2 linked regions of the Drosophila melanogaster genome follow. Changing the gene in region 1 together with any one later gene gives a genetic interaction. Each region holds a gene or a part of one and is shown in the gene's direction. Other genes may lie near its edges.

Region 1 (5,453 bases):
GCCCAAACATGACAAAGGCAGTGTCAACATTTCAGCCTAGATAACTCAGAGTGCAGTCCAGTGTTGCCAAACTTCTTGGCCCTCTGTTTTGGTAAGGTCATGGGTTGGCAGGTTTAATCGGGCCAGCTTAAGGAGTAAATATTTTGGGTGTTGCGGGCATAGATCAAAAATCCATGCTTGAATCCATCGGATAGTTAGCACATTGGATTTACTTTGGTAAGGTAAAGGACATAAGGTATCTATATATTATATATTATCGTATATACTTGCAGCGTTGCCCAACTTCACTTGAGTGCTAATGAAGCGTGGCAACCGGGCTCAGATATCTCGCCTTTCAAGCAGAGCAACTCGCCCTGGCTGTAAATTGGCCAATTATCAGCATTTGAAATATGGTTTACCTGCCACGAATTCTCTCTTTCCTCTACCTGGATTCTTCGCCTCTATAAAAGGTGAGCGGCAGTGGGAATCGGGATTCGAGAGTCGGGATCGGAGAATCGAAGAAACGAGGGACTTGAGAAGGCAACAAACTCACATACGCCGTACGCACTTTGACCTTTCTTTCTCGCAGAGACAATGCACATTGTGTTGCACTCTGAAAAGGGGAAGTGGAGGGGGAAAGGGAATCCACACCTGCCCGCTCCTAAATGCACGCATAGTTCCTTTATAGGAAAGATACACACCTTTATTTTACACTTCTCTGCCCGTCGAATGTATCTGTATCTGTATTTTCTGAGCACCGGCATTAATGAACTGACTTCACACTCGTCCGAAGAACTCTACCTGGAGGAAAAGTTATTGATTATTTAACAAACGCTGGGAAATTAGGCAGCGATTTATAGAGGAAAGCCCTTTCGGATATGCACTTTGATAAATTAATACAATATCGTCTAGCTGGCCATTCAATTGATTTCGAAATTCATTAGCGCGCAGAGGCGTCTAGATATTGGGACAGTGTCCAAGAACGGGTCTCCACTTTGATTTCTATTCATCGCATTGTGAAACGGATCGTCTAGAACTGTGTCTGGCTTTATTGCAGTTTGGAAATAGATGAGCTAACAGCTGGAGAGTGAGTGGGGCACTCGAGCAGATTAGATATGAAATGGTCGCCCCTTTGGAGGGGCTCTTTCGACTCTCTGCGCCGGCGAAGGGTTGAGCGGACACGGTGGAGCTGGAGGGCAATAAAGCGCAACAAGTAGGGATTATCCGAGCTCGAAATGTTTTCGGATTCGGATGGAAACTATTGAGGCTGAGCGGCACAAAGGTTGGCAATTTGTTGGCTTGACAACGTGAAAAAGAGCTTGAATGATCGAATAAAAATGGAAAAGAGCTGGAGATAAACAAGTTGGACTTGGAAATGGATGTGGCATGGTGTTAAAGTCCGTTTGAATGTAGATTTTTTTGTATTAGCAAATGATGCAGATTATTCATAAAAAAAGCCAATAAATACATGACTATGTGTTGTGCTGCAAAGAAATCCCCATCTAGTCCTGGAAGTCAGATACATATTCCAACAATTCACATCCACTCAATAGCAACATGATGATGCACCACCACCCGAAATGTTGCACGACTCGACGATAAACCTAGGGCACGTGGATCGAAACGAGTGAAGACGGAACAAAACAAACCGTCTTGCAGTAAAAGTAAACAAAGTTCCAACGCGTTCCACAGCATGCAACAAGCGGGACGAACTGGAACGCGGAACAGCGCACGAAGCGATACAGATACTAGATGGTACTCGGATACACAGACACGAAGCAGTAGCCGAAGTGGACTTCGGGTGGCGGCTCCGAGGCGAAACGAGAATTCGTTCCTCAGTCGCATTTCGATTGTCAGCCGGTTCGCATGTGCTGCGGATGCAGATACAGTCCATATATCCGTATCCGTTCGATTCGTCGGGTTACGCGCGTCGTCGTTCCGGGAAACGGACTTAGTGGCGCCGCCATGGATTCAGATGCTAGCGAATAACTAACTCGGAGGAACAGAAATACTGTGTGTGCCAAAACAGAAGATCCGAAAGATTGCGCGTATCGAGAAATGAGTGCAAATCTATTTTAAATGGTGTGCAATTAAGGAGGCGAAACGAGAATACTTGACAAAATGCATTTGTGCGAGATGCGTGGAATGCCGCTGCGGTTGCAACCTCAGTGTTTAACCAACGAAAGCGAAATTCAAATTAAAATCAAAAGCAAAATCAAAAATAAAACTGCCAGCGAGATCAAACGCCGACACAGAAACAATCGAGATTTTCATGGGGAGCGGCTAAAAATAATGCCAGTCGATCGGAGTCGACGCGCAGTATTCCCACTGCTGCTGCTCCTCGCGGGATTAAACGGATTAACTCAAGTCGGAGCGCTCAAGGGTAAGTGTCAACAGATGCAAGATGCGTCCATCTCCAGAGTTGCATTCGCAGGGTTGCATTGTGGGATCTCTGTTTTAGTTTGAAGGGCATTATGACAAACTATTTCCTCCCAGAGCCAGGGAAAATCCTTCGCGGCCGCATATGAGTTGCCTCCTCATGTCGCTGCACTCCCCATTTATTTATTAGCGTCATTTGTTTCCATTTACGTTTTTTTGTTGGTCGACTCCGTCTTTTGGCTATTTTTGGTTGCAACACACGCGGCCCGACCGAACAACAAAGTGAAATTAAGGCACTGCGGTTTATTTATGCCTGCAACGTTCGCTAATGGATTTTAAGGCCGCTTTATAGACAACGCGACATCGACTCTGCCCATAGACCCATTATTCATGCCTCTCTCTCCCGATTCTCATTAGAGATGCACATAATGGGGCGACTTTTGGATGGGCATAGCTGGATGTTTGGGCTTTGGCAGGGCATTGCAATCGGTATCGTAATTCCAGAGATCTCTCAGAAGTTCTCTGCAGGTTAGGGAAGGTTAAGAAGTATCTATTAGTATGGATACTTTTAAGAACAATGCTGCTAATTCCTCATTATTCCTTATCACCACATAACGAACACCAAAAAACAAATGCTAACCCACTGAACCCACTTAGGGATCACATTTGGGAAAACTAAATACAACTTCCAAAGAATACACAGATCGTATTACACATCGAACCCGAGAAAAGTGAAAAAAAAATGCATATGTGGAAACTCAGTTGGATGAGGGTAAATCGAAACACAGAAATTGTAAACCCCTTAGGGAGGATCTCGGGAAAGATCACTAACCAAAACCAAAACCGAACTTTAGATAAATGAGTAATGAGTTCGAAAGACTAATCAACCGAGTGTAGTTTCCCGCTCCAATCTCGCAACTGATTACAGGAAAATCAAACAAAGAATCGAGTTTGTGGCTTTTGTGGTCGAGATGGCAAGTTCAAAAAGAAAACTAAAGCGAAATGGTTTGAGGTTGGCGGTTTAAGGAATGGGAGTTAAGCAACGCTTTTAAATTAGACCCTTTGGCGATTTCATGGCTCTATACCTCCGCCGATAAAACATATATCTAAATGAGCTTAAGTCGTCACACCCCTTGCAACGCTGAGAATGTTGTAATCTAATGCTTATTAAACGCTTTTTAATGCCAAACCAACGACGCCCAGTCCACTGATATCGTCCATGGACACACGCAACTCGGATTCGGATTGGGATTGGGATTTTTGAATTCGGATTTCAGTAAACACTTGAACACGCAACCTGAGGCTGTGTGTTGCAGCACCAAGTATCTGTATCTCAGTGTCCCCATCCCGAAATGGCCGATGTGACGTGGCAAGTGTTGCACGCGACGTCGCCCGTTTGATATAATAAATTGTATAAAATTATCTGCACCGGCACACGACAGGATTTTGTTCCTCACTTCTGGTGGTGTGTGACCAGCGAGATCCAGTTAGCAGCCCAGCTTTTGGGTGGTGGGTCAATCGCAGTCGGCTTGAGAATCTGTCGGGGTCATAAAAATTATCGCCCTCAACACAAAGTTGCAGGGTTGACAGCCTTGGCAACCTTCTAATGCCACTCTGGGGAGCGTTTTTCCAGCTAACTGGACTGACTGCACTTCTTTCTGTTTTTTTTTTTTTTTTTTTCGTTTTGACTCCGGGGGTGGCAGTCTATCCTTTCCTTTGTCTTGGCCGTTTATGTTGGCATTTTTTGTGTTTTTGTGTTTTTTTTTTTTGGGTGCCCGCCTGGCAAAAGCCTTTCGGCTCTTGTGCAATTTTCTCATGTGCATTATGCGAAAATTGGGCTAAGTAGCGGTCTCTGGCTTAGTTTTCCTACTTTCCCGGGCGAAAGAAATGAAGTCAAGTGCTGTGGCAGCTCCGTAGCATGTTATTTGTTCAATCACATGATTGCCCTACCAATCGCCCGGCACTCAACGAGATCTCCCATTTGCTCCCAGCTGCAGGCTAGATAATGAGGGGTCTTATGGGATAGTATCCATGCCATAGCTAGCACCGATACGTTGGCACACAGTTTGGGGCAGGAATGTGATTGAAAGTCGGGCCAATGTGGGTGGAGGTGTTGCAAGTCGACTGGCGAAAGGTCTAGCGGATAGCGACGTACTTCTAGGAATATTCGAAAATACGGACTAGGACGGGAGTGATAGGTTTTCAGTAATATGTAGTTTTACTTCTAATAAAAAAATCAATTTGGATCGAATTCCTTAGAAAACACATAGCCACTCCTTGGGGAAAAGTATTTACTTCTAATTGCAACTAGCCGTGGCTTCAGTACGCCTTTCCTAAGAGCATTCGATCTCCAGTCGACTATTTGCCAGCCAAACAATAATTAATTATTTAAAACAACAGGCTTACGACGACGGCCAGAACCCAGAACGCAGAGCCCAGAGAGACATCGGTCTGGAAGTCTGGAAGTTTGAATGGCTGAAAGGCGACTTGGACATGGTCAGCTGGGTAGTCGGAGCCAAGTTTTGCCTACGCAAAGATTTTTGTTATTTCTTGCTTCCTGGAGATCTGGAGACCCAGCCTGTCAGCCAGTCCAGTCCAGTGAACAGTGTGTATATGTGGGTATATCTCGGTGCTGGCCGTACTTGATATAGCCGTGGGTTTTATGTACATTTTGTTGCCGTTGCTCGGCTGCGATATTAAAAATAAAGGAAAATTAAGCCTGGCAGCCGCGTAAAATGCAAACTTGCATCCGAAATGTTGCAGTTATGCCAGTTGGCGTTTAAAGCCGTTGCTGTTGGCCACATTTTTGCATGCAATGCAATGCAATGCAGTGCCTGGAAAATGGTTATTCGTTTTTCGAGAAGGCGTTACTGCTGGATTTTCCGAAAAGTTTTTTCGGCCCGTTTATATTCGTTCGTGGTGCTTAGCTCGGAGCAAATCTGAGTCGAGCTTGGTGAGAAAAAGGTTCGCAAATTGCATTGGAAATGCTTTGTGCAAAGGAGTTTTTTCGGTGAGGAGCTGTAGGAGCTCGGGGAGGGATGTAACTGGAGGAGGATATGCAATTCTGGTGGGGTCAATCAACATGGAAATTTGAT
Region 2 (5,914 bases), on another chromosome or scaffold:
GGCCATGCCAGCGCACAAAACAGACCTGTTCAAGTGTTTGCCAATCTCCGATTGGCTTGACTGAAGTTTTCACTGAAAATTTGTAGTGGGAAAAAGTCACTTTACTGAGTTGATCCTTAAGCTTTATTTAAATAGAAAACTTTAAAATGTAAGTAATAAATTTAAATTAAATTTGTGTAAAGCTTAACTAACAACAATATGAACTTGCCAAAAACAAAAAAACAATTACTTGTTGAAGATTTGGTGCATCATTGGCATTTACAATTTCCTAGCGATTTAGTTAATTTTAAAAGTGATTTAAAAAGTATATCTTCCAAATCTCTTATTGATAGAATTAAAATTCGGGAAATTCTATATCCTGAGTACAATTTGTTTAAGTCCGTCTTGAAAGTAAGCCAACCAACTCTGTTCATAATTAGATTAAAGTTTCTTGCTCTCCGCTCCGTATCGCTTCAAGTGGCCACAATTTGAGGCAGATTGCGCTCTAATAAATATGGGCAGCCATCTAAGCTAATGCCCCAACTCATCACCGAGTTGAGAGATGAGCACGCAAGCAGGCGAGATACGCATGCGCCCGTTGCCAAGGCCCAAACTTAATTAAAAATTTGGAGAGAGCGGAGGGAAAATTTCAGATTGCCCACGAGCTGAAGAAATTTTAATATGACGACCAAATTGCACCGCAGCAGCTCCAGGAGCTGCATCGCCACTTGGCAGATTATGACGACAACTATACTGACAGGCAGAGCCAGAGGAAACTACTCCAAGAAACTAGCCAGATTCAGTTGCAGTCGCAATCGGAGTCTCCGTTCCAGTTCATGGCTAAATGCTTTTGGCTGTGATAAATTACACGTCGTTTTAGAGTGTTGCGCTTCCTTGTTACTCCGTCAAGTGGTGTTGACACGGCCGCGGCGAATGCAGAGTATTAAACGATCTCCGCCGTGGCACTCTTCTTCCGTCCAGTGGTGTTATTAAAATGAAATCATCATCATCACCAAGTGACAGAAGCCGGGAGTCTGAGCCTGAGCCTGAGCCTGAGTCTAAGTCTGAGCTGAGATGAGTTGAGATGGAGGGACAGACAACGACTGGTCAAATGCCCGGGGATCACTTTAGTGGGCATCTCGGCGCACGAAGGCAGTCATCTGATCATGCTTATGACAGGAGAATTCAATTAGACATATGGAAACGCGTTGATTGTTCCACTGGCAATTTTGCGCCTGGTGGCAATCCGATTTAAGCAGCACAGAACTAGCATTGATTATTTTGCAATTGTTGTTGAAGTACCGTATCGAATGTATTTAAATGGATACCATTTAGCCCTAATAAAATTGATTCCTTGTTAAACAATCTCATGCAACTTTTATTTTATTTACGCTCACAAGAATATAGCTTTATATATACCATTAGTGGCAGAATTTTGTATTCAACCTAAAAGAATTCTGCAGTGCCCCCAGATAGAATAAACCAACATCTATGCATATGTTTTCCATGTGGTCATCTCCAATCGTTATCAATCCGACAAAGATTCACATAAAAATATTTAAATATACGAAAGACTAGGGAGGCGAACTTGTTTTCTCCATTTTGCAGGTCAAGCCACAAATAACCTCTGATGTTTTCTTGGTTTCTCCCAATGTTTGTTTACACTGATCGCCGGGCATTAAGTGCCCACCTCCTTGCCACATTAGTCGTCCAATACGAGTTCAATTGGATGCACATGCACAACGAAGCAAACCAGGGCCAACACTCTCGCGGCCAATACACTCAAATGATAACAGTACCGTGTGTAGAGTCAAACGGGGGTAAAAAGACATCAGCCAACAGCCAACCGCATCGACACAGTATTCAATGGAAACGAACGAAACGCTTGGAGATCGTGCCGGTGCCAACAGCCAACCACAGTTCAGCTCTCAGAAGATGCGACGCTTTAACATTTACGGAGAGCGGAGAGTCGCGAACCGAGCTGGAAACGTACAGCAAACATGTTCGAAGCGAGGTCGGTAGCAGGGTGCACTTGGAGAAAAATGTTAGCACTCTTAATATACATAAATGCGTTTTGACTTATTTCAGTTAGCGTTGTAGAAACAAAAAACTGCATTTTTTCAGGGTACTAACTTGTCAATAATATCTTTAATATATTATTTAATAATATATATTTAATATAATTGTTTTAAAATTCTCCCGAAAATAACAAATCTTGTTTCGTTAACAGTTCAGTCAACAGATCTTACCGCCATAACATTGCTGTTAAACCGGCAGAACGGAGCACGCGCACCATTCGCCACAGCAGCTGTTTGCCAAACAGGATTTCCTGCAGCGACGGCCGCCGATTAACAGTTAAGTTTCGCCGTGCCCTGCCACTGTTGCAAACGCACGCACACAATCTAGCGACGCGTGCGCTTTGTTGTCTTGTTGCCGCTGCTGTTGCTGTTAGTGCTGCTGTTCGTGCTGCCGCGCTGCAGATGCTGCTGCTGCTGGGGTAAGATGATCTTTGAGGCCAGGGCCGCGCTGCCAGTTCGAGTCTGTTTGGCGCTCAGAACGACGGCGACGATTTAGTCTCGGATGGACGCTACGCTGCCAAGCACCGTCAGTCAGGCTTTCGCTGTTCTCTCGCTCTCGCAATCGCATTATATCCGACCGATCGCGAAGTTTTTCGGCACTATGTGCGCCACGTGATTGCTGAAATCTCCTTCGAAAGCCGTCGCTATATCATCAGCGATAATTCGGATTTAAGGTGTCATGTGAAGAGTGTGTTTGATATAATCAGTTGATTTTCATTCAAACGTATCCCAGTGTGTGAAGTTAAAAAAAAAACTGGAAAAATTAACATCTAAAGAGGAAAAAATAAATAAATAGTGAGTTGGTAAAAACATCGAATTTATGCTGTTGTGGAAATATATGATCTGGAAAAGGTAAGATTTTGTTGTATATGAGCTTATGCTATTAAAAAATGGCTAAGTCTCCCTGCTGACAAACAAAACATATTAAGAGAATAAATAAAACATTTATTCATTGAATTAATGAGACAACAACAAGTTGAGATGCTGGACACATAATTCAAACGCTAAAACAATAGATAAATACAAGCAATATATATATTAAAGGCTTAATTGAATAAAAACCATTTTGCATAATTTCCATAAATTTGTCGGATGGTTGTTGTAAGTCAAAATAAATCGCAAATAAAAGATTAATACCGAAAACAATTGCATTATAAAAACCAAACCAATTAAAGACTGAAATTATACAATTTAATAATATTTTTAGCAATAATTGAAATACTTAGTACAAACTATTAAAATCAAAACAAAAAACCAACAATAAAAAGACAAATCTGTTGCGAAGAAATGGCCCAACTATCCCCAGCTATCAAGGACCAAGCTTAACTCCCATGAGTTCGTACTCACACCACTAAGGAGGACCAAGGAGAACCAGAAAAAGTGTAATGGTGAAGACAAAAGAAGCTCATTGACATGCTCATTAATAATGTTATTGCCTTTTGTGCGATAAGTGTCAAGAAATTTCTACAATAGGGGCTGCGAATGGACAAAGATGGGAGATATTCAAACATTTAATTGTCCAACTGCTGTCGGCAATCAAGCAGAAAAGGGCCAGGGGCAGCCTGAAGCGACTGGATCGTGGATCCTCGATCGCGAAGGAAGAAGGATCAAGGATGGAGGATGGAGGATGGAGGATGGAGGATGGAGGATGGAGGATGGAGGATGGAGGATGGAGGATCGCAGATCAAGAATTGCGGAAGCAGACAATTCAAACTAGAGCGTGTGACTGCTGAGTGGATTTGCATACTGCGAATGTCCGTCTCCAGTGGTTGGCAGGGCTAATAATAAAGCATATTACCGGCAATTGTGCGCGAGATGGAAGGCGATTCGGGTGTAGGAAGGGTTTGGGCTTGGGTTTGGGTTTGGGTTAGGGCTTGGACTTGGATTTGGATTGCAGATTGTGTCAATGCTCCGGGGTTCGGTTCAGTGGGCTGTGTTCTTGATTCTTGTTCTATTTTGTAGCGGCTTCAAAATATTTGAGACAATCGTGGTTTGCTTGTTTGAACACCTTTTCTCCCTCTGTTGCCTTTATCAGATTTGGCATTGTCCATCATTTTGTTTGCTTTAAAGGACACATTTTTTTGGGACCTTGTTTATTATTCCTATTGAGAGAAGTCCAACGTTCTGCCCACTTTTTTTCAGCTCTGTCAACAGCGAGTTGATGAGCTTGTTGAGAATGTGGCAGCGACCAACTGATCTGGTTCTTATTGTCTAAGCCGCTCTGAACTTGTCCCCATCGAGTTCATCTGCAGATCTCCATAGATTAGATCCGAACAATCTCCTCCACTTGGCTTGCGATCAATATACAGTTGTAGTTTCTGTAGCAGTTTAGGTTTCTAATTAATTGTCTGTTTCTGCCCAATGTGTAACATTAATCTTGGCTTAATCGATAAGTCTGACAGCCAAGATCGTTCCTATATCTGGTCTGATCTGTTCGGTTCGATATACACTCAGAAATGAACAATGGGGATTCTGTTTTTAAATTTGAAAGGAACCTGCAGAGTCAAATATTTCGAATTGGCACAACCAAAGACACTAGAATGTCTTTGGCACAACTCTCGTCTACTCATTGTTTTCCCACAAATCGAACTGGCCATCGGACCTAAGCATTGCATTCACCTTAAATTTGGGCTCGGCTTGAGGACTTGTAATTAGCTCGAAGCATGGGAATTATGTACTCCTCCATGACATCTACTACTTCTATGCGCTGACTTAAAGGGGTCCTAAAGATGCCCCAAGAACAAGACTCTCAAATATGCGCCCGGTTACGTGGATCAGTGGCCTTGGTCGTTGTCGTCGTGATAAAGCCAAAAAGATTGAGATGCCGCCTGCGGATAGGGATCTGCAAGTTTATAGCTCGAGCGTGCCGCTCAATTGGATTTCAATCGGGTTTCTCAATAAGGATCGAAATGATTTTTGACTTTTTGGTTCTTTATCTACGAAGTTCAGGTACGGCGAGATGTATTGCAATTTACAGCACTTCTATGCATATTAAGTGCATAAATATTTAGTTTTATGAGTGCTTATTTATGAAAGCAGTGCAGCAGTAATATAGGTTGTTCCCAATGTCGAAGGTAAATGCACCTATTTGATGTAATTATACTCATTTTTCGGCTAACACGATGCTTATGAATCCATTTCCCCAAAACTCCTCCATTCAGAGATCTTCTTTCTAGCTGAGTGCAATCTGGCTTACCACTCCAGCTCCACCACGAACTGCGGTTCTGAGTCTTTGGGACCCAGAGATGGAAGATCTCCTCGATGATTTTCCTGCTTTCTGAAAAAGTGCACCGCTGTGCCGAAAATTGTCACGGTTTCGCGGTCGATGGCTCGCTTGCTGTGAAGGTGCAAATTTAATGTTTGCCAATTTAGCAGCGCTCTGCTGTCACCTTTGGTGTCCATTAGCGAGCGTTTATATGCAAAGTGCCGAGCATTGGCAGGCCAGCTCCGGATCTGGCAGCCGGCGGGCTTTGGACGGGGCCAACCATTATCACAGAAGCAGCATCACGTTGTGGCCACACCACCTGCTGGGCGCATTTCGCGGAGCAGCTCCCTGCCACTTGCATCCCTGGTCCGGAAAATATCCAGACTGGGAAAACTCTGGGGAGCACTTAAGCTTGCTAGCTGGCTGTCATTGGAGGGAGTCAGGGCGTTCTGTGGCAGTTCTGGTTCTCAAAAGGGCCAACGAGAATTACGAAGATCCTGATGGTTACAGAGCCGCACGTAAATACTTGATTTTTATTTATGATAACAATACTTAAAATAATAAAAATATTAATTATTCTTATTATAATATTAATAAAAATAATGATAATAATAATAATATTAATAATAACAATAATAATTATAATAATAAT

The links. Genes that interact genetically often act in the same process or in processes that back each other up.
Region 2: of robo2 (region 1) and eg, changing one suppresses a phenotype caused by changing the other (phenotypic suppression), as found in Drosophila melanogaster (one study listed by BioGRID).

The regions. Positions count from the first base shown.
Region 1 is NT_033779.5:1,416,813-1,422,265, reverse strand, and holds the start of robo2 (roundabout 2), read left to right. Parts: upstream 1-1,812; 5' UTR 1,813-2,100; coding exon 2,101-2,362; intron 2,363-5,453.
Region 2 is NT_037436.4:21,806,329-21,812,242, forward strand, and holds the start of eg (eagle), read left to right. Parts: upstream 1-2,374; 5' UTR 2,375-2,476; intron 2,477-2,510; exon of another isoform or gene 2,511-2,909; intron 2,910-5,914.